Coturnix japonica: one gene and its partners. The protein of the gene in region 4 binds, or shares a complex with, the protein of the main gene of each other region. Links are inferred from orthologs where the notes say so. Each region holds a gene or a part of one and is shown on either strand. Other genes may lie near its edges.

Region 1 (4,292 bases), about 20 Mb from region 4:
TGTGGGTGCAGAGAAAGTAATAATAGGCTTGAAGGAAAACAAGGAAAATAACATATTTAAACAGCCAGAAGCCAGTGCCCATACACAGGTCTTTGTTCCCAATGCTGTGTGGTATTAGCTAGGAAGAACAGCATGTAATATAGGCAACAGCCTTAAAGGTCATTCACTGAAAAGCAAACTGTATATTCTACTGGAAAATTTACTGATTTTGTATTAAATGCGATAACAAATAGGTACCCATATTTCAATAACAATAGAAGGCAGGGGCTGCTTAAGGAGAAAAACAAAGCTGAAGTACATAGTTCTGATGCCAGTGTATTCTCATCAAAAGGGAGATATCACAGAATCACACCACAGCCAATTTGCATTTTTATTTGTTTTCTAATACATGAGAACTTACTAATCAGATCTTGTTACTAATTATCTTGATACCGGATAACTCATTACATTCCTGTGCTGTATGATACTGTTCTTTTCTCCATGTCGTCCTCAGGACACTATGTCAAAGAAAAATGTTAGCAAAGTTATGAAGTAAGCCATGATGCCCCAATGATAACGAGATAGGAGACTCAGCTTAATGCCAGCCTACTGGTCCTAGAGTTGATCAATGATCAAAACACCCACAACATCTTTTTTGCTGGAAAAAAATTATCCCCACAAATTGGTTACTGCCAGTCATATCCCAGCCCCATCACTCAGAGTTTTGGACTTCTCAGTATCAGGTATGATGTATTTCATTATGCATTCAGCATAATAATAAATAAAACCCAACCAGTAACTAGCAGATACCTCTGGGCAATACTAAATAAATTTCTCAGCTCTCTGGTGATTTTTCACTGAAACAGTAGCTGTTAGGAGAACAAAACAAATGATGTAGTTCACACTGAAGTAATGTTAAATCAACATTTCTGTTGTTTATTAGATTCCTGGTGTATGCTCTGTCATTTGGCCAGGAATAAAATATCTGTGGGGCAAGATGGAAGGTCTGTGGCTATTTGACTCCTGAAAGTCTTTGGCAAAGATTTGTATTTCTCTTCTTCAGGTACAGTATAGTTTAAGTTGGGGTTTTGCTTGCCTGTTTGTTTTTAATCTATTATATATCATAATTCTTGATTAGGAAAGTACGCACAAAGACATTGCAGTATTGTGATAATTGTATTGTGACAATAAAAACGTTTATGAATACAATCACTTGAAGAACTACTGTGTTTCACTGTTTTACTCTTGTTTGAAATATCCCTCCTGTGCATACTGAACTTTACCTTTTCCCAGGTGTATGGCAATTTGGTAATCACAGCCTGAAACTGATTATCAGCTGAGGCAAGTGTCAGCTCAGCTGTGGGAGCACAGGTGAGAGTAATTTAGCTGTGCTCCCGGAAGGGGTGGAGCTTGACTCCACCTCCTCTAGATCTCATTTAAGGGCTGACCACCACTAAGGCGGCATCTCTTGGAAGTTGCTCCTTGGTGGAGATTGTCTCAGTGCTTCCCAGCAGACTGAAGGCTTCTACATGGGTGAGTTTTTCCTGTTGATAACTTTTTAGATATTTATTACCACCTTTCTTGTACCATTACCATCTTTACTTTATTGTCACTGTGCACCAGGCTACATCTGCAGCATTCTTCAAGACAATGATTGACAGGATGTCTGACTTTGAATTTCAGTTTGATTTCCAGGAGCTGCTTCTAGATTACAGACACAGAGACTGTCAGAACATCTCTCTAGCTCTTCCTACTTCACTTCCCCAGTAAAAGCAATGTGCTTCTACTTCTAGAAATCTATGAATGTTTTGGACAATTTCAGTCATAAGCCATTTTGATGTGGGGAAAAAAAAGTAGGTTTACACTGTCCATCAGAAACGGACATAAGCAATGCATTCTTTATTAGGGCTGCTTGCTTTCCAACACATACTTCATGTCACTCATTCTGTCTGGGTAGCTGGTTTTGATACTTAAGAGATTTCTCCTATTAAAGTGGATCTGAATGAGTTTGGTATGAGTAATGTTGAGAATGAATGAGAAATGAGAAATACTTCTCAAACTTGTTTCACAGTATCTTCAACAGCATGTAAACCACTAGATGTTTGGATTAAAAAGAAGGAAAATGGGAGAGCTTTCTTAGCAGCTGATTTACAGGTTGTGGTTGCTTTATGCTGTGTAGAGTGTAAGCAACACAACAAAGTGCAGAAGAAGACACCTTGGTAAAGAGACGCCTTTTGAGTCTGAAGATAACATTTGTGTTACAACCCATATTAAAAATGGAATAGATTCCTATTTTCATTCTATAGGGCAGTGAGGTTGACAGCAGTGAAAAAGGGAGTCATCCCTCTGCAGAACATGGACCAGGAAAATATCTGTTTTGAAATAAATATTTGGGCCTCACTTTCTAAGATTTCTATTTCTGTAACATTTTTGTTTGCATTTACTGTACTACATACTTATGATTTTGGGTTTGAGTTCTTTTAAGTCTGATGAATTGCAAATGAAACTCAGAGCTATTCCAATCTCAGATGACTCACTTTTTGGCCGGATTTTGAATGCTGTAACATGTAGAGTCTGCTTAGTGCAATAATTCACTTCCTGAATTAAAAAGAAATGAAGAAAAAATAAGGACAAAATCAAAATTGGGTAAACATACATATGTAATTATAGTACTTGATTCTCTTCTAAAAACATTCCTTTTTTTGTAGCTGTGTTGCTATACGAACTAAGACACTACAGATAAAAACTTTCATTTAATTCAGTATAGCAAAATGAAGGAACAAACTGACTCAGAAGCAGTGTAAAGGGTCTGATTTGCCTCATATTTCCATTGCTTTTAGCAGCGAAGTCTATGCTTATGTAATTTCTCTTTTACTGACATTGATCTCCCAAATAGTTCATCCCAAGATCCCCCAGAAATTCCAGCTCTGTTTTCTTTCCAGAACACTCAAGTTGGATATGACATGTATGCTTTGGATGGAGGTGGAATTTGGGTGGAGAAAGATGCTGAAAGGTCAAGAGAAGTTTAAGGGGAAAACAGCCTTTCTAAACACATCAGTATTCATGGAGTTTGGCAATACTGAACTAACCACTGAGGCCTAAAGTTTAGATCTCATTTCTGTGGCTAAAACTGAGGAAGTATTTTTGGCACACTGGATTTAATGGGTGTTCCAGTCTTTCTTGAAGAATTACTTCAAAAACATAATTTAAAATTCTTTCTTTTCTCATTGTATATATGCTGGCCTTTGAGCTCAGTCATATATCTGAAACAGAATCAGTTAACCTCTGTTAATACTGATGGCATTACATGGATAGGTGCCTAATTTTCATTATGCTTTCTTACCGATTTGCCAATTCTATTCCTCATTACATTTTAAATGGCAGCCAGCAAACAAGTTCACTCCCACATACTCACTAGTCACCTCAGTGACTAGCATAGCTCAAGAGCTGTAAGATACTTTGACATTTCCCTGGAAAGCAGCAATGTATTTGAAACCTGTCCTATCTCCAGGTGCCTATCATCAGCAGTGCTGAGCTGCATAGGTTTTACAAGTGGGTCACAGCAAAGTTAGCTGACAAAGCATTTTATTCTCTCCTTTGAGACATTTCACTGCCTTTCCAATGCTCTCCTGGGGTCCAAATTATCCATGTAGATTTGGGAACACAAAGGTCTCACCTATAACCTGATAGAGACACAAGAGCAACAGAGCCATGGCAGTTTTCATTCAATTCCTACTAAACAAGATCAAGCTGAACGAATACAACATCCTCACTACAAATGATAGCCTAGAAATATCAGGGCAATGTCAAAGAGGAATGATGCTGAAGCTGTCAGAAACTGAAAAGAAGATGAACAGTTTCAATATGGAAAATTCTAAATGAGTACTTTTTTTCTGTTATCATGAGGTAGTCCAGTACTGGGAGAGGCTGCCCTGAAAGGCTGCGGAATCTCCATTTTTTGGAGATCTCCATCCCATCTTTGCCTCTTGATCCTTGTGTAATTTGCTTACTGTTTAGCACGATGTTCTTGAAGTTCTGTTTCATTTTTTTAATGGAGAATATGCAGAGGTTACACTAGCAAGGATTGCTGAATATGGACTTAATTCTTATCTTCTCTCTTTGCGGAGATCTTTACTGTCTTAGATAGCAGTTTAAGCTGTCCATATCCAGAAATATAGAAAACCTGGCCTAGAAATATAATTTTGAAAATGTCAATTATAATGATGTGCCGCAAGAATCAACATGTGAACAACAAAAGTCTAATTTCTGAGGTGATAGTTAAGTAAGTTACTGTGGTCTTAAAACTATGACTC
Region 2 (3,500 bases), on a different chromosome or scaffold from region 4:
ATACTCTCTGTGAGACACAGAGGTTCTCAAACTTCCCAGAAGGTAGCCTGTATCTTGCTATAGAGACTTGGTATAGCAACCTACCTGTCTGTTAGCACAGGCTTCCTCTGCTTTTGTTCAAGATTGCCTTACAGTTCTTTGGCAGCTACAGCAACTTCTTTGGAAGGGTAACAGTTGGAAAGTATTTAATCTATCTTTAGCTGTCTTTTAATGCAATTTAGCAGCTGGAAGCAAGGAGGAGAGCCAGCGTCATGAGACCAGCCAGCTCTCCCCGGACCACCAGCAAGTGCTCCGTGGACCACCAGTGGTCCACAGAATACAGTTTGAGAACCTCTGTTATGGTATGTTCTCCAAAAGGGTTTGCTCATCATATTGGAGAGTGAACATGTAGGACTTCATACAAATGGTAATGCTAAAGCATTCACGATGTTATAAACAGCAAAGCCATCTGAGGCTTTTTCTTATATATAGCTAAGAGAATAACTCAACTAATTTATTCCCTTCATAGCTCATCTCTTAAGTTTGTCTACATAGGGAAATAGCCTGGAATTGTTCCTGCCTAAATTGTATTGGGAAACAGAGGGAACTCGTTAACAACTGCAGTGAAAACAGCCACTCAAGTATCCTGTCCAGTGTAATGGTTGAACATTAAGATTCTTGTCTGGCAGTATCTTCCCCGTGTAGACAAATGCTTATTCGTAAGCTATAATAACATGGAGTATGATGAACATAGCAGTTCTTCTGTGCTGCCATTTACATTCTCTTGTATGCAGTGAAGGAGCTATCAAGCACTCAATATGAGCTGCTTTCATATCTTAAAGATCCCAACTGTATTTCTGGGAGCTTATACTGCTTTTCTTTTTTTCTTCTTTAAAGACCAGCTCATGTTGAGATACTGACTTATGCTTGTAGCAAATATAGTTTTCTGAAGGACTGTGTCCTAGCTGAAGTCTGAACTTGAACCTGATATAGAAATCTTGATGGTTTCTACCTATCTATGGATGGTGAAGCAGCTTAAGCTTTGTGCTCTGAGATTCAAGACCACCTGCAATTGTCAGCTATGAGCCCTGGACTTTGTCTTTGCTGTATGGCTGACAGGTTGTGGTTTTTGCATAGTGTGGCATGTTTTGAAGCAGCATCTTCTGTAGATGTAATTCTATACTAAGAATTGAACCCCAATATTTATGCTTAGCATTGTCTGGAGCATCCTCTGTGGACTGTTAGACAGGGAATAGGCATCACAATGAAAGTAAATTTCCTGGGAAATAGTAGCGCTTCTCAGGCAAGAGATCAGAAATGTCTATTTTGGAAGCCCTCTCAGAATTGGTTTGGTTTTTTGCCTACTTCAGCACTTTAATGTCTGACCTTTCATGTCATTAATAGTTGCATATAAAGTAATTGTTTGTTTGTCATCTTGTTCTAAATTAAACTTGCTGTTCTTTCCAACTAGGAGTTGGTAAAGCGTTAAAGAAGATAAACAGGCTCATAGTCTCAAAAAAGAATAAAGACATTGTTACAATTGCTAATGCAGTATTTGCAAAGAGTGGCTTTAAAATGGAAGTGCCTTTTGTTACAAGGAACAAAGAGGTGTTTCAGTGCAGTGTCAAGAGTGTGGACTTTGAAGACCCAAATACAGCCTGTGATTCCATCAACCAGTGGGTGAAAAATGAAACAAGGGGTGAGTATTAGCCAGTATTTTCTGTGCATGAGTGGCATCTGAGACCTCTCAGATCCGACTGGGAATATTGGAGTGAAATAGAGAGGGAGGAAACTGCCTTGCAGTTGGAAACTATCAATAAGCTGGCAAGTACGATGTGTTTTAGAGTCTGTTTGTCAGTGCCTTAGCAGGTGTACTTGTGTGATTTGCGTGTGTGCCTGTCCCTCTGTGAGATTGAAAAGCTTCTACTGTTAATCATCTGTATTTAATCTGCAGGAAACCCAGGCAGCGTTCTCTTGAAGCTGGGTGTTGTCAGATATGAGGGGAAGAGGGAGTAAAAAAGCTTGAAAGTGGCTCAGTACATCAGACTTGGAAGTAGTCAACAAAAACTCTAGGGCAGTTCAGCTTTTGCTGTAATACCCTAAATTTTTGTGATGCGTCACTGTTATTAGGAGTAATGTTTAGTAGATTTTTAATTCACACTGCCTTGACAGAACTCCTCATGGTTCAAGTGTGCTGACGTCCATTTGTCTAGTTTAGATGTACCATAGACAGAGATGGTGCTTTGCAACATGGCCATAGTCTAATTGATTACATGCTTAGTATCTCATGGAGTTAAAACTAGATGTGAGGAGTATGTTGCTAATGATGTTGGATGTGCCATTTGTGAAACAAGGATGTCAAATTCTTTCTTTACCATGTCACCAGCTTTGCATAGCTATGTTACAAGCTGTGTGTGAAAAGGGGGGAGTGCTTCAGTTGAAACTGTTATCACTGTGACCTCCTTACATTGAATCTTAGATCTGATCACAAGCTGAAAAAGGTAAGGCCCAGTAAGCTGTAACATCAGTTCATAGGTTAGCTAGATATGCTGCTTGTTTTCTAGGTATCCCAAAGGGTTACTTTTTAAAACAAAGCAAAAACTATTGACTGCATGGGTCTCAAATCTTATACAATGAGTAGCTGGCATGTTCACAGACATTCAAATGATTTGAACTAAAACGTGCTTCACTGTCTTTATGGAAACAAATACTTATCTTTTTTTGCTTTCTAGGTATGATTGATCAAGTTGTAGCTCCAGATGATATTGACAGTCTAACCAGGCTGGTTCTAGTGAATGCAGTGTATTTCAAGGGCTTATGGAAATCACGATTTCGACCTGAGAACACAAAGAAACGGCCATTTTATGGAGCTGATGGGAAGACCTACCAAGTTCCCATGTTGTCCCAGTTATCAATCTTCCGTTGCGGTAAGCCCAGTGACTTTCAGTGAATACCTCAGAAGGAGTGGTAAAAATTTTGCTCTTTTCCTTCAAATGAAAGAGTGCATTGACACACTTATTGCAGCTGATAGTGGAGACTGTGTGGTTATGAAAGCATTTTGTACTGGTAAGGTATGGGTAAGGTTGCTATGAAAGGTTGCTCTAGGTCAAGCACTCTAACAAAGTACTTCCCTTATCCTGCTTTTCAATGAAGTGAAAAACATGAAGTACTGAAACTGAGAACCTTGCATATTTCCTAAGCCTTGCAGTAGGAAGAATTTTAAGAGATGAGAATGAAGGAGGGCTGCCAACAGAGACTTGAGGCTTATCTGCTAATGAGCTGTAAATAAAAGATTGGAGTAGAATTAGTGTGTGTCACAGTGTAATAAAGAAATGGAACGTGCACAATCAACAGTGCTGGGGGAGCCAGAGGAGCACGTGTTCTTCAAATTCAAATTGAGTCACAGGACAATAGTTCAGTAGGTTTGGCCTGAGTTCTGTATGAGAAGCTTGGAGCTGATGTATGAGTCTTGATATGACTAACAGTGTACCTCAGCATGTAGGTGTATGGGTACTGGTAAA
Region 3 (4,001 bases), on a different chromosome or scaffold from region 4:
GCAGTAAGTGTGAGAGACCTAAAAGAGTCTGATGATGACAGAAACAGCAATGTACTGGTTCAAACAAAATATAGGAACATATACACGCATACATAAATATATTGGAAAATAAAAGCGAGAAAAAGTCAAACAGCTCCTGGAACCATCTTCACAGTGGATATTGCTGTCATACAGACCAACTCTAGGTCAAAAATTCAAGAAATATATTATCCATAGAAATTGCAAAGAAAATAGGGTAAAAAATGGCACAAAAACACCTCTGTTTCAATCCTCTGTGTAAACATACACTAAAATATCTAAATAAAGTCAAGTAGTATTAGGCAATAGCATGACAGTGGATGCACACAGGCGTAGTAGAAAGCTGGAGTTAATTTTTGAGTGTGCATTTACTCAATTCCCAAACTATGGCTGAATTTATAGCAATGAATTGCGAAACTGAGAAGAATTTCTTATCTGGTGTTCAGTTTCAGCACATTAAATAGAAAAACAGATACAGATTTTGTTCTGGAGCCAAGCCCTGTTTATACTGAGCCTTGCCACTAGCTTGGAAGCTAGACCAGAACTCACAATAATTTTGTCTGCTGGAAGAAAGCCACTGTTTCTTGGCTTAGGTGGGAGTGGTGGGAGGGGAGTATGGAAGTGAATTTAAAAAAACAACAGAAAACACCCACACAGGCAGAGGAACAGGAAGGGATCAACGGAACAGCAAATGAGGTAAAACTATGAGAGGCTGCAAAAGGGGGTAAAATGTCCTGAATAGAGCAAACAGCTGGGCTGAGATGCAGACACAGCTGGTTGTTAGGTGGATGCAGAGGAACTGAAGCACAGCAACACTGTCTTAAGGCATATGTGTATCCCTGAGGTTTACTTTCGCCTCTGCATTTTCTAAACCACGATCACCACACTCTTCCCCACTTCTGGCCTCTCCCCAGGAAGCATACAGAGTTCAGCAGTACAGAATTTCTAGTCCAGGGGTGTGACGTCTGAGCCTTTAGTAAACAGTTTTCCAGAAGGTACCTTTTTCCCCAAACACTTGTACATAGAAATTCCAGCTGAACTTCCCTTTCCCTCCACTGCCATCACCTTCAGGGCTGTGGTAAATTAGGAGTTAAACTGCTGCTGTAAAGCAATTTAATCTCTGTGTTGGGCAGAGGCTGAAACTGAGTCATGTGTGCATATTTGGATACGTCACACCCTCTTGCTGTAGTAGACAAAGAACAAACTAGCTCCTTGCCATAAATCTCATGCCTACAGGATGCTTCTGGAGGACAGATCAATTGTGCCTTAGTGCCTTACAGAGGGAAGAAAATCCCCCCCGCCTCTGAGATGAACTAGAACTGCGCTGCCTTTTTTTTTTTTTTTTTTTTTTTTGGTATCTGGATTTAGAAAACTACAATGAAGATTCTGGTTTTCACTGGACTGCTCTCTCTAACATCAACTCTTACAACAGGTCAGTCCTCCTTTCTGTATCAGCTTTCTACTTTAGATGATAACATTTGCTTTCTGATAACACTGGTGCTTTACTGGCTTTAATGGGCTGCGCACACACCGTTGCATTTTGCTATACTCCAGCAAGTTTCACTTTAGGCAGAACTTCATTCCATTTCAGTGATACCTTGGACTACCTTCCTCTTTCCCAGTCATTTTCAGTAAGGGGTTTTTACCTAAGGGATCATTCTTTCCGTCCTGAAAAACATATCTCATGTTTCTGTAGTGAGATGATACTCTTTAACCTGTACAGTCTTGTTCCTTCCACTTTGAAACGTTCAACAGAACTGCAGCCTCAGACCACGTTATTAGAAGGAAATTTTCTGAGAATTGTTGTGACAAAAAAAAATCACTGAAATAACTGAACAGTAAGTCTAGTTGCTTTTTAATTCACTAAAACGACAGCTGCTTCCAAATGAAGACATTTTAAAAACTACATTTTGTATAAAAACAGATATGCATACTTGCACCTAACTTTTAAATGGCATCTGAAATTATTTTTTTATTAATCACCCCAAAGATTAGTAAAAGGGATGGAGGTGTACTAATTATGACTTCTAAAAGCTCTACCAAAAAACTGCCAGATTCACAGCAATGAGTCTGAATAAAGCTATTTTCCGTGTTTTGTTTCAAGCTGGAAGCACCCCCAAGTTTTCATTCAAATTTCAGTTTGCTTCCAAATTTCAGTTTCAAGATCCATGCTCTGTGCCTTGCGTGAAGCCTTCTGGCATTAAACACAGCCAAGGCTTTTTTTTTTTCTTTTTTTCTTTTTTTCTTTTTCCTTTCTTTTTTTAATGCAAGAATTCTTCATGCAGCTGTTGATTCTACAACAGTTATTCTGCAAAATAAAATATTTTCAGACTATGTGTGAAACACATTCATACTTCAGTAGGAAATGTAGATGCCTTTACAAAGCTCTCCAACAAGCACTGACGAGCAGGCATCAGTAGAAGTTAACCAGCATCACTGGCTTTGCTCACAAGTCACTGATATTTACTGATTCAAAACATATTCCTGGTGCATGAGAAATTTTATTCACCTTCCAGTGAGCTTGATCTAACATCAGTGTAAATGTTCGCATTCAGGTTCTGGGACCATCATTCCTCACGTACAAGGTGCTGAAAGGTCTTAGTTTTGCCTTAGTCAGAATCCAATACAGGAACGTAATCTTAATTTGGTGTGCGAGACCAAAATTATTTTTAGAATTATTTTCAAATTTGAAATTTCCAGCCTGTGCTCTTTCCATCTTCTCCAGTCATGTATTTCATTCACTAAGTGACAAGGACAGCACTGCCGTTTGCTTGGAAATTCTTACCAAGTCTAGACCAAATTTGCTTCTTATATAACAAATAACCAATACTGCTACCACCTTGCAAAAGCTTACATACAAGGTAACCTTTAAACTGGTGTTGGACAACTTTGATAAGGATGACTGAAAGCACCTCATGAGCAGGAAAAGTCTGTTTAGCATTACATTCACAATGAATTTTCAAAGTTGGGTTCGAAATTACAAATAAATAAAGATTGTTCATGAGCAGTTGAACAGCCAAGCAACAGGGAGCACCACCAAACTTTATAAACACAGGTTGTTTTTTCACTTGAAGGCAAATTATATTCCCAACCCATTAGTTCGCCTATTTTAACTGTTTTAACTTTTTTTCTTGTTTTGAACTTTAGAGTCTTCGCTGAATGATTCTGCAATTAAAACTGTGTCTCTTATCAAGACTTTCCGTGGAATTTCACAAAGAGACTATGATTACATCCCACCTCATGTTATAGAAGGGGAGACAAAGACAATCCATACCAAGGAAAACAAAAGCTCTGTGAAGAAGTACAATGACTCCACTTTAACAGAAGTGAACAACACCACGTTGGAATACCTGACTAGTTCTCTGAGCACCAAGCTAATACCCACTGTCTACCTCAGCGCTGTTTTACTGGGTGTACCATCTAACGCTATCATCTTGTGGATGCTGCTCTTCAGGATCCGGTCTGTGTGCACTGCCATACTCTACACAAACTTGGCTGTTTCGGATCTGCTCTTCTGCATCATGCTGCCATTCAAAATAGCATACCATATCAACAAGAACAACTGGATTTTCGGAGAAATTATGTGTCGAACTACAACAGTGGTATTTTATGGCAACATGTACTGCTCCATTCTGCTGCTCACATGCATCAGTGTCAGTCGCTACGTGGCCATCGTTCACCCTTTCACCTACAAGAGCCTGCCAAAACGCACCTATGCCATTGCTGTCTGTGCCACTGTGTGGACCATCGTCTTTTTATACATGCTCCCACTCTGCATAATGCAGCAAAGCTATTATGTGAAGCAACTGGGCATTTACACCTGCCATGATGTGCATAGCACCTGTGAAAGCATATCTTCTTTCCAGTTCTACTACTATGTTTCTTTAGCTATCTTTGGATTCTTAATGCCTCTTGCAATCATCATTTTCTGCTATGTTTCAATTATACGAACACTCAAGACTCACGAGTGGTTCTGGTATGTG
Region 4 (4,136 bases):
ACACAGGTCATTCTGGCTTTTCCCAAAGGTGTCTTTCCAGAATCCAGGTGTGGTGGGCGAGAGTAGGGATACTCCTGTTAGATGAGGGCGGGAGCCTCTGCAACTGCTCTTTGTACCAACGGCCACAGAGTCATTCCTGAGCCACCCTAATGCTAATATTTGCACTCCTTCTATGGAGACAAACATTACAGTTGTATCTGCTGCACAGAGGCACAGAACAAAACATGCTCTCTGCTGGGAGAAACCACATTTATGCCCTGTAGCAGCCTCTGAGCCTACTCCAACCCTGCCCTGTTTTCTGCTGTTCTCTCACCATTCCAACTTTCTGCATGTAGGAATCACTACAGCATTCGCAGCTGTGGTAGTTCAACTCTTGACTTGCTTGTTAGCTGATGTTGTGGCACCCATATAACTCTTGCCTTCCTGTTCCCACAAGCCTTTGTTTTTCTGCCTGTTTCTGGTGTGCTTGCTGCTTGCTTGTCAGCTTCTGTTTCCTTCTGGATGTACTTTAATGTGTTCCACTGGCGTGGGAAGAGAAGGGAGAGACCAGACTTCAAACTACTTCACCCTCCTCCACCCCGCTGGGAATTATAATGCCACGGGAAGTATACACTGAGGATGGCATTACTGACCTAACTGGGAGGAAAACTGAAAATCCACAGAGACTGCAGCCAGCACCCCTTCTGCTACTTGGCATGGGTGAGGGAGATGGAAGAAACTTAAATTGTGTGTTCTCGTGCCAAATAACAGACTGAACCTGCTGATAACTGTGGGGAGAGAAGACAGCTGGACTCTATGGGGGAAAGGGATGGAACTTGCAACTAAAAACAGGAGGAGGACTGGGAATGGCTAAGGAGATCTCCAAGTCTTGCTACATGTGAGGCTGCTAGAGTACAGCATCCAAGAAGATTTTGCAGCAGGGAACCAAGCCCTGATGATGGGGACGCAGCAGTCATGCCAAGAGCTGCAGGAGAGCAGGGTGACACAGAGAGCAGCAGCGAGCTGCTTGGGTTGGGGCAGCTGGCAGGGACCTCTCTACCAGCCCAAGCTCTCCCTGTGCCCTGGTACAAACGTATCCTCTTAATCCTCATGCCATGTTATACACTGGGATGCTAATTTTAATCTGGAGTGTGGCGGAGTGTCCAAAGACATTCAGTTTGGTTTCCACTAATTAAGTATGAAAATGAAAATGCCCCAGAGGGAGGGAAAGATGCCAAGAGAGAAGGGATAAGAGGAGCCTCAGTCCTGCTGTCCCTGACACACCATGACCTCTGGAGTCCTGTTTCTTCATTCTGGTTTAATATTAACCCAGCAGGGCTGTGACTCCACTTATTCTGCTCCCTTTGCATTTCCTCTGCAGCCAGGGCTGTGCAGCATGGTGCATAGCAAAGCCACTATGCTGCAGGGCCTGCTCCTTTTCAGCCTCCTGCACCTCACCTTGAGCCACGATGGAGGTAAGAACACAGGGAGATGGGCAGTACTGGGTGATTAAGGAAGGAGGATGGGCTTAATTCCTTCGGGTGGTAAAGCCTGTAGAGGGTTTTCCAGGTAGTGCAGAAGGAGATTCTAAAAGCCTGTAACTGGGAGTGAAAGGGTGCAGAGAGGAGAGTGAGTATTTTGCTTCCCTGCCCAGGAGGATGCAGCAGCACCCAGCAGCTGGCAGGGAAAGCTGTGACAACAGCCCAGTGGATTTCACAGGTCACCTGACTGATGGTGGAGGAGAATGTGGCTCAGAACAAGACCCCGTGTAGCACAGCTGTGGGGCTTGTTAGTTCCTCAGCTCACCCCACTGGCTGCAACTCTGCATTGCCTCTCCAGCCATCCTTTATCTGAAGTTTAGGTCATACACAGTACGCAGCCTTCCTGCTTACTGCTCCTTTTTCTTTTACTAGAGCCTCTACTTCATCTACTTGTTTTTAATATGAGTTCGGGTCCTTTCTATCCCACTGCTGTGTGGGGCAAGACCTGTCACAGGTCTCAGATCAGGGCCTGTGAAGATGAAGATTGACTTTACCTATGCCTATTGCAGTAGTCTGAAATTGGCAAGATAGAAATTCAGTGGTTGACAGACAGCAGTAGCAAGCTCCAAGCAAACAAACAAACTAGCAGAGCAGATTTGCCAAGGATAGCAGAAGATTCTTGTCACTTCTGTGACCTGGACGAAGCCAATACTGACAGATGAATTATAGTGAGGCTGCTCTGACCATCAGCTGTGGACCTCACAGGTCCTTGACAAAGCTTCCCTTATCTGTACGGTGAGCTGGGGAGGCTGGGCTGTGGGAGCATTACACCAGCTGAGTGAAAACTTCGAGACACAGGGACCCTCCCACCATGAGCATCCCTTTGACTGGCAGTGTTCTGACTCGGTAGTTTTCCTGGAAAAGGGGCGGGCACTGTCACTGCTCAAGCGTCCACGACGTGCCAACAAGGGATTTCTGGAAGAGATGATGAAAGGAAACCTGGAGCGAGAGTGCCTGGAGGAGACATGCAATTACGAAGAGGCCTTTGAAGCCCTTGAATCCACTGTTGACACGGTACGTCACAGGCCACATCGGTGTCCTGCAGCCAGCTCCTGCCGTGAGACACGTGGGTCACAGACAGCCAGGGGCTGGGATCATAACAGACAATTTTGTGCTATAGATGGAAAGCTATTGTGCCTGTCACCCAGGGGGAGACAAGATATCCTTAGGGAAATTCCCTCCTAAAGCCACTCTTGGAAACGCACCACAAATCTCAAATTCTTTTTCCTCCCTCTCTATTTTAAGCGTGAAATGAAATAAAACAGAGCCTTCCCTCAACCCCATTAGATAAGAATTTCATCTTCATCTACTAGTTCACTATGGTGCCACACACATTTCAACAGCCACAGGCCCAGACACTGAAAGAACAGCTGACAGCAAACAAATTTTGAGCGCAGGTGCCTCAAGCCTCTTTGAGCTGAAACTGATGTGCTGCTGATCTCTACTCCTCGATATTTACGGTGATTTTTCTGTTTCTCTGCTTTTACAGGATGCATTTTGGGCAAAATACCAAGGTACGTTGCTTCAAGTTCCTCCATAACCCATCCTGGAGGAATGGCTCCCTACCCTCTTAAAAGAGCTCACTCACCAAGAAAAACACTTGTGTTTTGTCCCTAGATGATAATCTGGTTCAAACCATGATGCTTGTTTAGATTCTTTCATGTAACGTGCTTCTTTCTTCTTATTTTGCAAGTATGTCAGGGCACAAAGATGCCTAGGACAACTCTGGATGCTTGTCTAGAAGGTAAGAAGTGAATGTAGATCTTAAGATCCCAGATACGTTGAGTGCCAGGAATTTGCTTCATGCAGATTTTGGAAGGAAAAACAAAAATAATCTAAAGTTGGCAAGAAAGAAAAATAACAAGGGGAGTTTTAAATGCCTTTCTTGTTCTTTATTTCTCCATTATCTATTTTACAAACTGCCTTACTCCTCCATTGAAATGGCATAGGGTAGATACCCTTATCCCTGTGACAAAGTAATGTGGTCTTGAGTATAGCTCCAGGTTAGACTGGCCTCTCAGAGGCCAACTTCTCTAGCCTGTGCCTTATAGCCAAAGCAAAGCACAGAGCTTCGGGGAGAGCTCCATCTGATAAGGCAGAGCAAGTTTAAGTGATGTGCTCTTCCCATCTTACAAAAAGAATGCCCATGGTTGTGCAGGCTCACACACATCCACAAAGTTAAAGGAATCTGTGGTACTTCTGACACTGAAAAATACAACATCCATTCCACTGACCCAGGCTCACCTGTTTGGGGATTTTGACAGGTAACTGTGCTGTTAATCTGGGCCAGAACTATCGGGGGACAATTAGCTACACCAAATCGGGCATTGAATGTCAAGTGTGGACAAGCAAATATCCACATATACCTAAGTAAGTTCATCTCTTGCTTTCCCCTGCAGTGTTCTCCAGGGTGCCTTTCCTTCATAGCCTAACCACCCTTTCCTCACAGATTCAACGCCTCCAATTATCCCAACCTCATTGAGAACTACTGCAGGAACCCAGACAACAACTCAAGAGGTCCGTGGTGCTACACACGAGACCCAACAGTGGAACGGGAGGAGTGTCCCATTCCAGTATGTGGTATGTCTCAGCACTACATCCCAGCTTTTCTCCAGC
Region 5 (4,150 bases), on a different chromosome or scaffold from region 4:
AACCAGAGTGTTCAAAGCATGTAAGTCCTCACAACTTGAGGACATAGTCCCACTGTGGACCTTAATCTGTCACCTCTCTAATCTCCAGTTTGAACCCTTGGAAAGATGTTTCCTTTTGCATTTCTCAGTAAAACAGAATTCTTAAAATGCTCCCACATCTGCAAGGAATTGAACTAGGTTTGTGGCCTGTTTTTACTATATATGGTGTGTTAGAGTTAGTTCCATATTTGATTATACATATTCTTTTCAAGGCCATCTACATTTAGGTCATCAATGTCACTCTGCTGTGCACATTTACAAAGATTAAAACCACATTTGAGTCTTATAAATACAGGCTATGTAAATGGAGTGCCTTTGACAGAAAGCACATACACAGAGCTCTGCGTGTTCACAGGGTGCCTGAATTTCATTCAGTGAAATGAATCTGCTAAAATAATAGGTGTTTATATGGATGGCACAGTGAGTTTTTCCCACACAGACATCCCACCAGTAAATACTGTAACTCATTCTCTATCTTTTGAAGGCACCTCTCTCAGCTATCGCAGCTTTATGGAAACTGCAGCATGGTAGATGAATTCAGACCTCAAATAGCTTCTGCTTGTGCATACACCAAAAAGATAACATTGGCTATTGAAAGCCTCTACTGTTACACTACCTTCACATATTCTTATACAGCAGCAAGACCACAGAAGTGCCCAAGGTTTCACTCCATCTTCCAAAACAGAAAAAAAAAAATAACTAACCTCTAATTGAAGTGTTTCCTAAATTGATAGAAGCTAAGTTTGTGATTAAGCAAAAGGTATCTTCTGTGGGCTCCCCACTGTGTCCAAGGATGACAGAGGTTTGGCTATGGATATGTCTCTTGCTAACTAGCAACCACCTCTTACCTGGTGGCAGAAGGGTCGGCCAGCAGTACGGCTATCACACTGCTTGCTTTGTGCAAACAGCAGTCAGCCTAACAGTGTGATAATGCAGAGCAGTGGCCAGAATTGTGCACTGCCGAGCAAGATAAGATTAGCACTGGATCCTCCTGCTGTCAAGAGTTGACTTCCCATCCTTGTTATTCTCAGTTAAGTATCAGTGTTTCTGCAGTAATAACACAACTGTAACTGATCCAGTTCTGAACAGAGGCCTCCTCCCATTATTCCTGTACTGCTCTAAACACACGTGTATATAGTTGAGGGCAGGGCTGCATAGCCCAGCAAATCACGGGACGTGCAATGCTTATGACTGCAGCACATACCTCAGGAATAAAATACACTCAAACTACCGGTGGAGTGGAATAGCATTCTCAGCAAACACAGCCTAAACGATAGCGGCAAAGCCGTCTACCTCTACAGCTCCGTCGGGGCGCCAGCACACCGGCCCTCCACCCGCACAGGTGCCGCAACACTGGGAGCAGCCCCGCCCAGACGGAACAAAGCGGGCGTGAGAGCCACGCGGTCGAGGAATAGCGTTGGGTTGTTTTGTGCTTCCAGCCTGCCCAAACCTTCGGACAAAATCCCTCGTTCCGCACTTCTCCTTACCCGTGGGATACTACAAGCCAGCAGCACCACAACCCCCAGCCCCAGCGGCGAACCCGGCACCACCCATCCCTCCCACTAGGGACCGTCCCGCCCCCGCCCGGCAGGAAGGCGCCCCCGCCTCTCCCAGCAGCGGCCGAGGGGCGGCCAGGCTCGGCTCCTCCCGGCTCCTCCCGGCTCTCACTCGCTTCCCGGCGTGGCCGGGACGGACGAACCGCGGGGCTCCGGCAGCCATGGGGCTGCTCGCGCTGCTCTGCGCCCTGGCCGTCCTCAGCTGCCCGCTGTTGCCTTCCCCCGCCGCCGCCGTCCGAGCCGGTGAGTCGCGGGTTCGTCTCGACGCGGCGGGGGCTGCCAGGGGTCGGGCGGGGGCTCGGCTCGGCTCTGCCGCCGGCCTGAGTTTGGGGGGAGAGCCTGCTCGCTTCGGAGCCCTGAAGCGCTGCGGTGGGGGTGCTCGTGCGGCGTTGATTGCTGCGGTTTGCCCAGATAAGTGTTGATCGGTGGTGGGTTTCTTTGTTTTTTGTTTTGTCTTGTTTAAGTGAATGCTACAGCTCTGGAATACAGATGATGCCGGGTGTTCGAAAACAAAGAACGGTTTACAGCCACCCGGCGGCTGACGGGGTGGCCGAGAGGTAGCAGGTAGTGGCGAAAAGCTGTGATGGGCGGTGGGATGCGGAGTTGGGTGCCCCAGAAGCGCGTTGACAGCTCCGAGAGGCAGCGTGTCTGCCGAGTCTGCAGGTAGCACCAGTCCGGGGAGGTGTGCCGGCACCAGCCAGCTCAGAGCAGGCTCTCCAGTTAGATGAGTTTCCTCTTTGTTCATCTGGAAATAACACCGATGACAGCGTATACTCTGCCGGATGAGACTTCCGACCCATCTGGTTCAAAACCCGACTTGGTGGTGTAGCGTGCAGGGAAAGAGTGCAGAAGACATGCCCAGCCTTGTGGGTTCTAGCCGAGGTGCAGTGGTGCAGAGCTAGGTTAAGCACTTGCAGATAGCAAAGGATTCTTCTGCAAGGTTCTGTGTAACACTTATTTCAGCACAGCGCTCCTGCTGAGGGAGCTGGAACAGAGGGTCTGCAGCTAGGAGCAGGCCTTCTGAAACAAAGGCTGAAAGAGGAGTGAGCTGGTGCTTGTGCTGGGAGGAAAGGACCAGAGGGAGAAACCTAGTGCTGCTATACAACTTATTGTCACAGGGACATGAGGGAATAAGGAGACCACAAGTGTGTTTATGCTGGCAGAGAACGGAAGTGTCCTTGTTGAAAGAAATGGGGGGAATGCATGCGTGGGAGGTAATAACAAACTACAGAAGTTAATGCTGGAAGAAGACTGTACTGCTGAATGCTCTTATTCCAGTTTCCAGAAACATCCAAGCTTGTTTTCCTGCTTTCTGCAGTGTAGTCTTCTCTAAAGGACATCCTAAAGTGCATCATTCATTTGCTGCTTCCTTAGGAAACAATGAAGAATGTAGTTACTGTATGATAAGAGGCTGAGAAAAGCCCAAATTATTTGATGCACAATGGAAGCAATAAAGCCCAGCAACTGAGCATGGCTTCTCTCTCATTTCACCCACTCCCTCAGCAGTGTCATTTCCCCACAGCAGCCCTGTTTTCACCACAGTGTACTTAGATCCCCTTTCATCTGCATTGCTCTGTTCCTAGGCTCGCTCTGTCCTTGCACCTGCAGCTTCTTCCCTGCTCTCTCCTTGTTCACTCAACATCCACAGTTCCCACCTTGTTGGCCTCAGGTGGACCTGCAGACAGGAGGAAGAAGGCAGCTTTGTAGCAGGTGCTGGGCACTTGCTCCTGAGCTCTTCAGATGCTGCCTCTGAAAAGCCAAGCAGCATGCTGGCTGAGGTCTGAACTGGCCCACGCTTTCCTGTATGGCAACAGGTGACTGAAAAGAGAAATGTTGCCATGGCTTGGAGCCAGCACTTGTAGCAAAAACTAAGGAGAAAGGAAAGCAAAAAGGAACAGTTTGCAAGAAAATGGTACTTAAGTAAGCTGTGTTAAAACTGCTACTGAGTCATTTATGTAATACAGTAAATGAATACTATATAAATGGAGAGATTTGACAAAGGATATTTTAAAAATTATGGTGTGTGTTGTTACAAAAGGTAGTCACTGTCATCTCTCCTACAAGATTAGCTTCCTTATGAACATGTCTCACTTGCACATCTCATTCTATCTTTACTTAATTTACATGCCACTGAAAAATATGGATTCTAGATGCCGGTTATACAGAGGGGAGGTACAAGGAGCACTGTTTTTGTTGTAAGCCAGTGGTGCAGCACCGCAGTCAGTAATGTCCGGAACTCAATATAAATGGTTATCCAGTGGCACATCTTTAACTGGCTTAACCAATGTTTAGTTTCCACCTCATAAAAACAACCACTGGGAGATGAACATAAATATTGCTTGTTTATAAACAAGTATATAGAAACACTTCTGATTTATTTTATTTTTTTCCCTGGTACTCAGGTGATGTAGGGTGATGTCAAAGATTGGTTGAAGCTGTTGTATTTTTTTGCTCTCTACTTTTCCTTTCATGGTGCAGTATTCTCAGTAGCTTCTTACATGCGAAAACTGACATGAAATGAAATTACAAAACAGCTCTGTGTAGAACAAAGCATC
Region 6 (4,021 bases), on a different chromosome or scaffold from region 4:
GTTATGAAGTTAGGATCTGAAAAATCAGCTGGTTGGGCATCAGCAAAGTAGTATGTTTTCATATTGTTTCTGAAATCATTAAGAATAGAAAAGTCCTTTCGAATATAAAGATCATTGACAGATCTCAGAGTATAACCAAAATTGCGCCTGAAGAGCCGGTGAGTGAGTTTCCGAAAGAGGTTATGTACAGTCATGAGCTCGTATTTAGTGCTGGCATTAATGAAGTCTTCAAAGCCAAGAACAGATAATACTTCCTGCTGAGTTTGACCCTTCAGACCCAGGGAAATCATAGCCATTGCAGTGGAAATACCAACAGGAGCCATGAGAATATTGTCTGAGGAGTTGGCTTTGTCTGCTACACTACGATAAAGGTTGAAGCCAAAGTTTGCATTGAGGATATTAAGACGTTGGATTCTGGTTTTGCCTTGGAAAAGTTCCAGAATATTTCCTTGCTGAACTTCAGAAACTATGTGTGGAGCAGCATCTATAATGTCACTGTAGTCATCTTCCAATATCTTGTCAAGATCTAGATAATCCTCTTCCTCCTCCTCTTCAGGAATCAAGTCATTGGTGATAGTGTTTTCTCTGTGGAACTCCAGTGGTAGGTCTGGCATTTCATAGGTTCCATTTTCGTGTGTATGTGCATCTTTGAGGCTTTCAAAATGGTCACTGAAATCCTTGATTCCACAAAACGTGGAGGTTATGATGACAGCCACAGCAAGCAAACGAAATAGGAACTTCATTTTGAAAACCTGGAAGACAACAAAGTTGGAAGAAAGAGGGTAATTGAATTTTGTCTGTTTCTGTTCCGTAAGTTTAGGTCTTCGGTGGATTCTGTCAAGTCACAAAGTCTGCAGTTACTTTATTCGACAGCATTTATCTGTCTTAAGTAGATAGGTAACCTGTTTTAGTGGTGACCATTCTTGTATACATAATGTCTCCATCCTGTTAGATAATTGGTTGAGTTCCTGCTTAAGTAGTGGTTGACATATTCCAGTGATGACAAATTAATTACCTGAAATACGCTGATGTATTTATGTGTAAAATAGAATTGTTTAAAATGTTTACTGACTGTGTTATTTTAAAAAAAAAAAAAAAAAAAGGAGAATTTCTGGAACAGTGCTGCTGAAATTTGATGGAGGAAAAAAAAAGGAAGTTTGGGCTGTAGACATTTATCTGCACTATGCTATTAGTGGGACAGCAGCGTGTAAAGTATTTAAATGTTCTGGCCTGTTTGTTTTCTTCTGTGTTACTCCATGGGTGTGCTCACTTTTTACAACTGTGGTACATCTGTCTGCCTCTTCCGTTTGGATTCTTGAATCTGCTTCTTACTTAGTTTCTACTTTTATGCAGCACTGCACAATATGCAGAGTTGTTTGTTTTCTTCATTGTGTGAAATCCTCTAAGTTCATGTCTGTAACTGTTCCTCCAGTCTTAGTGTTACCATGATGATAGATTTCTATCTTCACTTACTGTACACATTAAATATACATATTAATATTTGATATACATATATATAAAATAATATTTAATGTACATATTTACATATGTATATGTCAGCAGAACCTGCTTTTTTTTTTCCCAAAAAGGAGCTTGGTCTCTTCTTTGTCTCTGGGCAGTGCATTGCTGTTTGTTTTTGTTTTTTGTCACAACTTCAAAATCAAGAACTGATGTTAGATACATAATTTGAATTTAATCTGTCACCCTTACTCATCTGACAAGAGGTAGGTTTTCACCATAATTCTGACTTGCAGTAATTACAGTAATCTTAAAAAGTTTAATTTCTTCCTGCAGTAATCAAAGACCAATACACGAGCATACAATAACTGTGTCAGGTGACACTGCAAAATGGGTGTCTGAATGCCAGGGTCTTGATTTTTTGACAGTGCTTCTTTAGAAAGTTATTTGGTGATTTTATAAAATCAATTTCAGTTCACAGCACTTGTTTGAGTAAAGGAAAAAAAAACAACAAAAACAACAACAAAAAAAAAAACAACAAAAAAAACCCCACAAAGATTTAAAATGTAGGAAAAAATGTTGAATATGATGCAAGTAAAATTTTACTTAGAGGTTGAGTAAAATGTTTTGCAAATTAGCAAATAGACCAAGAAGCTGTAGAAGTAAAATGCATAGATGCACAAATTTGTAAAGCATTGCTTGCAGCACTTTTCAGGCTCTTAACAGGATCGAAGTAACTAAGCTAAGACTTAATTTTCTGAACTCTCCTCTCAAAGTAATTAGCTTGAAACCTTAAAAAAAGGGTGATTATCCCATGTAAAAATGAATTGTCTTTACAATGATGAAAGGTCACTAAAAGGTGCATTTTGAAAGATTTACATTGTGATTAAAGGACTTGAGTCAGGAGAACTCATTTCTTCATAAATTCATCTTTCTTTTATTACTTCCCCCACCCCCAGAAAAGAAAAAGGTGATTTTTTTATTTTTTTTTTCTCTCTCGACTGGCATTCTCTGTCCATTAACCACTGAAAAATATTTTCTGCTTTTGCCATACAAGAATTTGCTGTCAGTACTGTTCCCAACTTTAAATTCTCACCTTCAGTAAAGTTTAATTGGTGCTCATCTCCACCTACACAAACAAAGCATTCCTATACTATGCAGTATATGTGCATTTGTGTCAGATTTACCTAAAATAACGGATGTGAATGAGGCTTACCTTTAAGTCCCACTGTGGAAAAGATGTGTTGAATAGCTCAAGTGAGGGGAATGGCAAGTTTTAAATCTGAACTTTGATGCTAGTTTTTTGTGTATCTCCCAAAGTAAACATTCTCTAAACCAAACACTGCTAAACTTACTTCGTCAGCCAAAATCCCTCCCTTGCCTAGTGATCTCTGCTGGATTGCTTGGTTTGTTGTTTGTTGAACTTCTTTTATGGCTTTGCAGGTACTTATTTGCTCATATTTGAGGAAAATCTTTGAGCAAAAATTGGTGTATGTAAAGTTTCACAGTCAAGTATGCACATAAACTTGGCTGTTTAAGACTAGCAGAAACCATGTCACCACTGTTTTGTGCTGAGATGATGTTATGTTACTATTTGTATGTCACTTCAAATGTGGTTGGGGCCACTGGGTCTGTGAGGCTGGCTACTTCTGTCACTGTGCGACTGCTGCAGACATTTGCTGTCAGCCCAGCAGTGCTGTTCACCAGCTAGGACTCAGGTTAATTTTACTGCAGTATAGGAATTTTTAGTTATTTTTTTTAATGGCAGACTGATCTAAGATAAATATGTTCTGAATTAGCTTTATGTAAGGTTTTACTGAAGTACTTTGCATTTTCATACCACAGCAGAATTATTTTGCAGTTAGAAAAAATCTCTTCAGTATAGATTAGATAGATGAAGTCTACAGTTATAATATCTGGTCGTATTAGATAAAGCTCACAGTTCAGTAAAGCTTTCCTTTAATTATTATTATTATTTTTAATGTTGTCTATGCTGCTAACAATTTTAGAGTAAAAGACTGTCAGATTTTCAGTGTAGATTTGTAAGAATTCCATGTCATCTTGTTATTTGAGAGTATAAACTGCTCCAGTGGTAGCAGCTGTCTGTGAAAAGGCTATCCGACAACTTGAATAGATGTGCTGAAAATGATGTTCTTTTACTTGCTTGTTTAGATAGTAAATTCTCCAGGACTGATGTCACTGTATGCGTGGGTGAAAACAATAAAAGATCCCCAATTGGAGCCTCAGTGTATTTCCACAAATCCAATAAACAATAGCAACCAGAAGTATGTTTGACTAATATTTTGAGTTTGAGTTCCTCTGTGCTAAAATAAAACTTCATGAAGCTGTCTTTAGCTCACAGTTTAAAGGACTGTGTGGTCTCTTCCTCTCTACAATTGATGTATGCTAATATAAGGTGTTCTCTTTGGATTACTGTATCAGTATGTTGGTATTCCTGTGTGAAACCACATAAAGTTAGCTTTGTCATCTTGAATTTATGCTGTCTTAAGAAAAAATAGAGTTTTCTTCAGTATAACATTAGTAATATTGTATTAGTTTCTTC
Region 7 (4,205 bases), on a different chromosome or scaffold from region 4:
AATCAGCATTGCATTCATGGAAAATGTGAGGTTGTGCTGACAGCGGTGGAAACGCTGCATGCTGCTGGCTCTGCCCAGAGCTGCTGCCTCTCGTTCTGCAGCAGGAACACGAGCTCAGCCCAGGGCAGGATTCAGCTGCACTAGTTCTCTCTTCACACCTGCTGGTTTGCAGCTGAGCTGCTGGAACAGAGCTGGAATCTCAACCTTGCTACATGCACCTGAGTCCCAAAGTCAGATCAATCAGGCCCTAAAGGCACCATGTGGAGCAGGGCAGGTGCTGCTTGTACCTCCCTCACACCTCTAAAATCCCTCCCTCCCCTTTGTTCCAGTTCTAACTGCTCAGGGTTCAGAGTGATGGAAGCAAAGAGTGCTTTCTCCCAGGAGATACCTATTGCACAATGAGCAGCTTTAAAACCAAACTGTTACCCGACAGGGAAGGGAGCACATGAGATGTTAACAAGCTGTGACAAACTTCTGGCATGAGAATTTTCAAGCAAGCTGTTCTGCATCTAAAGCAATCACTGAAGATCACACAGCATTTGAAAAGTGAAGGATAGAGCAGTGAATAACCTCACCCTGCTCCACTCCAGAGACCCATCTGTAGGAAGCAGGGCTGTGATTTGCACACTATCTGCACCTGATTATGGCTAATTTTTTGCATACAGAGCATGGAAAGGATCCTGGTTGAGGCATGGAAAATATGCGGCCACATGAGTCATGTTGTAATGGTTTATAAATCTTGAGGGAATCACAAAAGCAAAACATCTAACATTGCATCTTCCCTATCCCTGCCAGCGGAACCCCACCTCTCAACACAGGGATGTGAGAATATGGTGAAAGCAAAGGAAATAGGATCATTTTCTCCCTGGAATAGAGGAATCTCATCGAACAGCAGCCAGGCTCAGATTTGCAGCCTCCACAGAAGAGGCCATTCATGAGCCGAAGAAACAGAAATGAACTGCTCTTCAGGTTGCCAAGCCAAATTTACAATTCCTACTGCCTGGGCTCCAGCTCCATCCTTACCTCATGGAGAGGCAGCCCCAACCCAGCGCTCCACAACTGTGCCCTCATTGCTGGGAAGGGAACACAGAGGCAACAGGGAAAGTCCAAGTCCTCTCCCAATGGTGCTGCGTGAGAGCGCAGAACAGCCTCACATCACAAAGAGTAGAAGAAGAGGGGGCCATGGAGCTCTCCAGAGCCATCAGGGTTGGAACACCAGAGCAGTGAGGCTGGAACTGGGTGATCTTTGCAGTCCCTTCTCACTTAAGCCCTCCTATGATTCTACAGCTCTGTGCAGGCAGTTGGTTGTGGCAAACTGCTCTGCTCTCCTGGGGGGCGTTGGGTGGAGGCTGCTCATCCCTGGAAAAAACACAGCTCTGTGTGGGCACAAGTGGCTGCAGTTCACCATTATCTTCCAGAGCACAGAGATTTCCTCAACCCACGTCAGCCCCTGCACTGCAGGAGGGCTCAGCTCACCCAGCTCCTGCCTATCGGCGGAAGCAGCACATCTCCATCAGGTCCGGACCTCACCACTTATCTCTGTGCGTCACAGCACCGGCTGCTGCTTCCTTCAGATGCAAACAGTTCCTCGCCCCGTGGCCTTTAATTAACCTCTGCAGCAAGAGCAAGGAGGGAGGGAAGCAGGATTAGAAATAAAGAAACAGAGCTATGGTGGGCTGAACACAAAATGGGGACTGCAGGGCAGAAACCAAACCCTGAACTGTCCCCAAGGCCATAGCAGAGCTCTGCAAGCCCCAGGAGCTGTGGAGGTTGTGGCCTTCCATGGCTGTGTGTGGGGATGACATCTCCCAAAGGCATTGAAGAAGGGTGGAGAAGGACATCAAGCACTGCACAGTGCTGCTCAGATCCCTCTTGAGCAGAAGGATGCTGTTGGACACAGAGCCCAGAGGAATTTCAGTGCAGTTTACACTCCAAACCAAATTCAAAGTGCGTCAAACATGATTGTTGTTATTTTCAAGAACAGCCCAGAGCAGGGAGGAGACCCAAATGAATCACTTGAGCTCTGACAGATGATCCCTATGGGTTTGGATGCGTGCATCCCCCCAGCTGACACTGCAGCTACATCTCTGCTCGGACCACACTGGAATGCCGTGACAGGATGAGCCCAGTGCTTCCGACTGTTAAGGATTGCAAAGAGGAAACACGTAAGCACAGCCGCTCACACAGCTTTTCCCAGCTGCCTTCCAGCAGTGCAGCTCCTGTAGCAGCATGGGGACCTCCAGGAGCGGGTGGTTGGCACCCCGGCTCACACTGTGCTGTGCTGTGTGGGGACTGTGCCTGGCAGCGCTGGACTACGATGGTGAGTGGGCATTTTTGGGGGGGAAAAACTGCTTCTTAAAGTACAACAGGTTTGGGACTTCTAAAAGATCCCTGAGAACCCTTCTATGAAACGTTATTCTGGGTGCTCCATCCCTGGAGGTGCCCAATGACATGGATGGGGAGGGGCACTGAGCCCATGGCACAGGGATGGAACTGTATGTTCTTTAAGGTCCCTTCCAACCTGAGCCATTCCATGATTCTATGATCTGAAAGCACATGCTCACCGAGATTCGTGCCTGCTCTACTTAAAACAGGAGGTGACGGGATACTTATGGAAGGGAAATTAAAGCCGGCGTAGAATAAAGTAGCAAGAGACAGAATCAGAGGGGTCGAACAGAGTACTTGAAACCAAAACCTTCAGCTAAAAATTAAGCTCCCACAGCCACAGCTTTGCACTGGAGTGGCCCTGGATCTTAGGATCCAGGGATTGTGCCCTGCTCCCCTGGTACTGAGCTCCATAGCAATTGCAAGCAGTGGGAAGCAGAGCACAGCAGAACAGATGTGTCAGTTTGCAGTAAGGCCCCTGATAGACACTGCTGCACACCTAACTCCATCTCTGCTTTTTCTGACACATGAGCATTTTGCAGAATGCTCTCACTGCTCGAAACCAATATAAAATGCAGCACCTTAGAATCTGGTGTTAGCATCATGAACCAGCCTGCTCTGCAAAGCACTCATATTAACACGTGCAGCAAGTAACAGACTGCATTTACACCAACAGATTACTCTCAGAACAGCACCGGCGAGCAGATAACAACAGCAGAGATCACACCATGCCCCCGAGCCATCCCCGGTGAGAAGGCAAGGATAGATAATGTGACATACCTGCTGCTGCACGAGGCTGCTCGCTCCCAGCTGAGCAGTGGGGTCACAGTGCTGCTCATCCCATCCCTCTACAGCCTTGTTTTCCTGCTGGGGCTGCCCTCCAATGGGTTGGCCCTCTGGGTTCTGGCTACCAGGACTGAGAAGCTGACCTCCACCATCTTCCTGATGAACCTGGCTGTAGCAGACCTGCTGCTCATCTCAGTGCTGCCCTTCAAGATATTCTACTATTTCCTTGGGAACAACTGGCCCTTCGGGGAAGGTCTGTGCCGGGTCACCACAGCTTTCTTCTATGGGAATATGTACTGCTCAGTGCTGCTGCTCACGTGCATCAGTGTGGACCGGTACCTGGCAGTGGTGCATCCTTTCTTCTCACGCTCTTTCCGTACCCCTGCCTTTGCTGCCTGGACCTGTGCTGCTGTCTGGCTCTGTGCTGCTGGCATCACTCTGCCCCTGACTCTGCAGCAGCAGTCATACCCCCTGTACAGAGCAGACATCACTCTGTGCCACGATGTTCTCCCTAGGCAGGAGGACGATGGCTATTACTTCTACTACTTCATCTGCCTCATCACCTGTGTTTTCCTTGTTCCTCTGGCAGTGATGCTGTTCAGCTACTGCTCAGTTCTGCAGGCCCTCCTGGGCAGTGGGAAGCGGTACGCCCACTCCATAAAGCTCACAGCTCTCGTGCTGGTCACGCTCATGGCCTTCTATACCCCCAGCAACGTTCTACTCCTCATTCATTACTCCAGCTATCAGTGCAAGCTGTACGGCAGTTTGTACATCAGCTACATGGTGAGCCTGGCCATCAGCACCTGTAACAGCTGTGCTGACCCCTTTGTCTACTACTACGTATCAGAAGATTTCCGGGAGAAGGTGAGGAGCACATTCTTCAATCGCAGCAAAACACCCTCCTTACAAACCTCCAAAGAAACACTCCCTCAGAAAAGCTCCAAGGAATCACTGGTTTAAGCTCCCATCCCAGCTCCCTGCCCCCAAGGCACTCCCACCACACTGTGGGGATAGGACAAAGCACCAGGACTTCA

The links.
Region 1: the proteins of F2 (region 4) and alpha-1-antitrypsin-like are in contact, whole or in part, in a crystal structure (PDB 3B9F), measured with the Homo sapiens proteins. The link is inferred for Coturnix japonica from reciprocal best matches to the Homo sapiens genes F2 and SERPINA5. Residues at the interface, in NP_000497.1 of Homo sapiens: Arg383, Pro386, Glu388, Leu389, Leu390, Cys391, His406, Cys407, Tyr410, Pro412, Trp413, Asp414, Lys415, Trp455, Glu457, Asn458, Leu459, Asn506, Arg541, Ile542, Asp562, Ala563, Cys564, Glu565, Gly566, Asp567, Val588, Ser589, Trp590, Gly591; in NP_000615.3 of Homo sapiens: Gln241, Lys295, Lys296, Arg297, Thr368, Ile369, Phe370, Thr371, Phe372, Arg373, Ser374, Ala375, Arg376, Leu377, Asn378.
Region 2: the proteins of F2 (region 4) and SERPINE2 are in contact, whole or in part, in a crystal structure (PDB 4DY7), measured with the Homo sapiens proteins. The link is inferred for Coturnix japonica from reciprocal best matches to the Homo sapiens genes F2 and SERPINE2. Residues at the interface, in NP_000497.1 of Homo sapiens: His406, Tyr410, Pro412, Trp413, Trp455, Arg456, Glu457, Asn458, Leu459, Glu509, Thr510, Ile542, Asp562, Ala563, Cys564, Glu565, Trp590, Gly591, Glu592, Gly593, Cys594; in NP_006207.1 of Homo sapiens: Val225, Arg288, Ser355, Ala356, Thr358, Thr359, Ala360, Leu362, Ile363, Ala364, Arg365, Ser366, Ser367.
Region 3: the proteins of F2 (region 4) and F2RL2 are in contact, whole or in part, in a crystal structure (PDB 2PUX), measured with the Mus musculus proteins. The link is inferred for Coturnix japonica from reciprocal best matches to the Homo sapiens genes F2 and F2RL2. Residues at the interface, in NP_034298.1 of Mus musculus: Phe379, Gln384, Glu385, Leu386, Leu420, Arg422, Arg428, Thr429, Arg430, Tyr431, Arg433, Lys437, Ile438, Ser439, Met440, Lys467, Pro470; in NP_034300.3 of Mus musculus: Thr46, Phe47, Glu48, Glu49, Phe50, Pro51, Asp54, Ile55, Glu56.
Region 5: the proteins of F2 (region 4) and F2R are in contact, whole or in part, in a crystal structure (PDB 3LU9), measured with the Homo sapiens proteins. The link is inferred for Coturnix japonica from reciprocal best matches to the Homo sapiens genes F2 and F2R. Residues at the interface, in NP_000497.1 of Homo sapiens: Phe382, Arg383, Pro386, Gln387, Glu388, Leu389, Leu390, Cys391, His406, Cys407, Tyr410, Trp413, Lys415, Leu423, Arg425, Arg431, Thr432, Arg433, Tyr434, Ile441, Met443, Glu457, Asn458, Leu459, Asn506, Thr510, Lys517, Gly518, Gln519, Arg541; in NP_001983.2 of Homo sapiens: Ala33, Thr34, Asn35, Thr37, Leu38, Asp39, Pro40, Arg41, Ser42, Phe43, Leu44, Leu45, Arg46, Asn47, Pro48, Asp50, Lys51, Tyr52, Glu53, Pro54, Phe55, Trp56.
Region 6: the proteins of F2 (region 4) and SERPIND1 are in contact, whole or in part, in a crystal structure (PDB 1JMO), measured with the Homo sapiens proteins. The link is inferred for Coturnix japonica from reciprocal best matches to the Homo sapiens genes F2 and SERPIND1. Residues at the interface, in NP_000497.1 of Homo sapiens: Lys384, Ser385, Pro386, Gln387, Leu389, Leu390, Cys391, His406, Cys407, Tyr410, Pro412, Trp413, Asp414, Lys415, Leu423, Arg425, Ser430, Thr432, Arg433, Tyr434, Lys440, Ile441, Ser442, Met443, Asn458, Leu459, Lys470, Trp511, Ala513, Asn514; in NP_000176.2 of Homo sapiens: Glu75, Asp76, Asp77, Asp78, Tyr79, Leu80, Leu82, Ile85, Phe86, Asp89, Asp91, Val305, Glu306, Met307, Thr308, His309, Gln327, Asp343, His361, Lys362, Arg388, Thr457, Val458, Gly459, Phe460, Met461, Pro462, Leu463, Ser464, Thr465.
Region 7: the proteins of F2 (region 4) and F2RL3 are in contact, whole or in part, in a crystal structure (PDB 2PV9), measured with the Mus musculus proteins. The link is inferred for Coturnix japonica from reciprocal best matches to the Homo sapiens genes F2 and F2RL3. Residues at the interface, in NP_034298.1 of Mus musculus: Glu385, Leu386, Leu387, Cys388, His403, Tyr407, Trp410, Asp411, Arg428, Arg453, Glu454, Asn455, Leu456, Trp501, Gly502, Asn503, Trp508, Thr510, Gln516, Arg538, Ile539, Asp559, Ala560, Cys561, Glu562, Gly563, Asp564, Val585, Ser586, Trp587; in NP_032001.2 of Mus musculus: Asp54, Lys55, Pro56, Asn57, Pro58, Arg59, Gly60, Tyr61, Pro62, Gly63, Lys64, Cys66, Asn68, Asp69, Ser70.

What each region holds. Positions count from the first base shown.
Region 1 is NC_029520.1:41,334,713-41,339,004, reverse strand, and holds the start of alpha-1-antitrypsin-like, read left to right. Parts: upstream 1-1,492; 5' UTR 1,493-1,512; intron 1,513-4,292. UniProt on the Homo sapiens protein: Heparin-dependent serine protease inhibitor acting in body fluids and secretions. Inactivates serine proteases by binding irreversibly to their serine activation site. Involved in the regulation of intravascular and extravascular proteolytic activities.
Region 2 is NC_029524.1:6,887,642-6,891,141, reverse strand, and holds part of SERPINE2 (glia-derived nexin), read left to right. Parts: intron 1-221; coding exon 222-341; intron 342-1,450; coding exon 1,451-1,678; intron 1,679-2,711; coding exon 2,712-2,906; intron 2,907-3,500. UniProt on the Homo sapiens protein: Serine protease inhibitor with activity toward thrombin, trypsin, and urokinase. Promotes neurite extension by inhibiting thrombin. Binds heparin.
Region 3 is NC_029547.1:21,497,022-21,501,022, forward strand, and holds the start of F2RL2 (proteinase-activated receptor 3), read left to right. Parts: upstream 1-1,201; 5' UTR 1,202-1,395; coding exon 1,396-1,450; intron 1,451-3,165; coding exon 3,166-4,001. UniProt on the Homo sapiens protein: Receptor for activated thrombin coupled to G proteins that stimulate phosphoinositide hydrolysis.
Region 4 is NC_029520.1:20,933,990-20,938,125, reverse strand, and holds the start of F2 (prothrombin), read left to right. Parts: upstream 1-1,336; 5' UTR 1,337-1,375; coding exon 1,376-1,454; intron 1,455-2,370; coding exon 2,371-2,534; intron 2,535-3,009; coding exon 3,010-3,034; intron 3,035-3,213; coding exon 3,214-3,264; intron 3,265-3,784; coding exon 3,785-3,890; intron 3,891-3,969; coding exon 3,970-4,100; intron 4,101-4,136. UniProt on the Homo sapiens protein: Thrombin, which cleaves bonds after Arg and Lys, converts fibrinogen to fibrin and activates factors V, VII, VIII, XIII, and, in complex with thrombomodulin, protein C. Functions in blood homeostasis, inflammation and wound healing.
Region 5 is NC_029547.1:21,461,770-21,465,919, reverse strand, and holds the start of F2R (proteinase-activated receptor 1), read left to right. Parts: upstream 1-1,350; 5' UTR 1,351-1,756; coding exon 1,757-1,838; intron 1,839-4,150. UniProt on the Homo sapiens protein: High affinity receptor that binds the activated thrombin, leading to calcium release from intracellular stores.
Region 6 is NC_029530.1:84,899-88,919, forward strand, and holds the start of SERPIND1 (heparin cofactor 2), read right to left. Parts: upstream 2,801-4,021; 5' UTR 2,675-2,800; intron 753-2,674; 5' UTR 744-752; coding exon 1-743. UniProt on the Homo sapiens protein: Thrombin inhibitor activated by the glycosaminoglycans, heparin or dermatan sulfate. In the presence of the latter, HC-II becomes the predominant thrombin inhibitor in place of antithrombin III (AT-III).
Region 7 is NC_029543.1:3,308,490-3,312,694, reverse strand, and holds the start of F2RL3 (proteinase-activated receptor 4), read left to right. Parts: upstream 1-1,405; 5' UTR 1,406-2,229; coding exon 2,230-2,320; intron 2,321-3,061; coding exon 3,062-4,131; 3' UTR 4,132-4,205. UniProt on the Homo sapiens protein: Receptor for activated thrombin or trypsin coupled to G proteins that stimulate phosphoinositide hydrolysis. May play a role in platelets activation.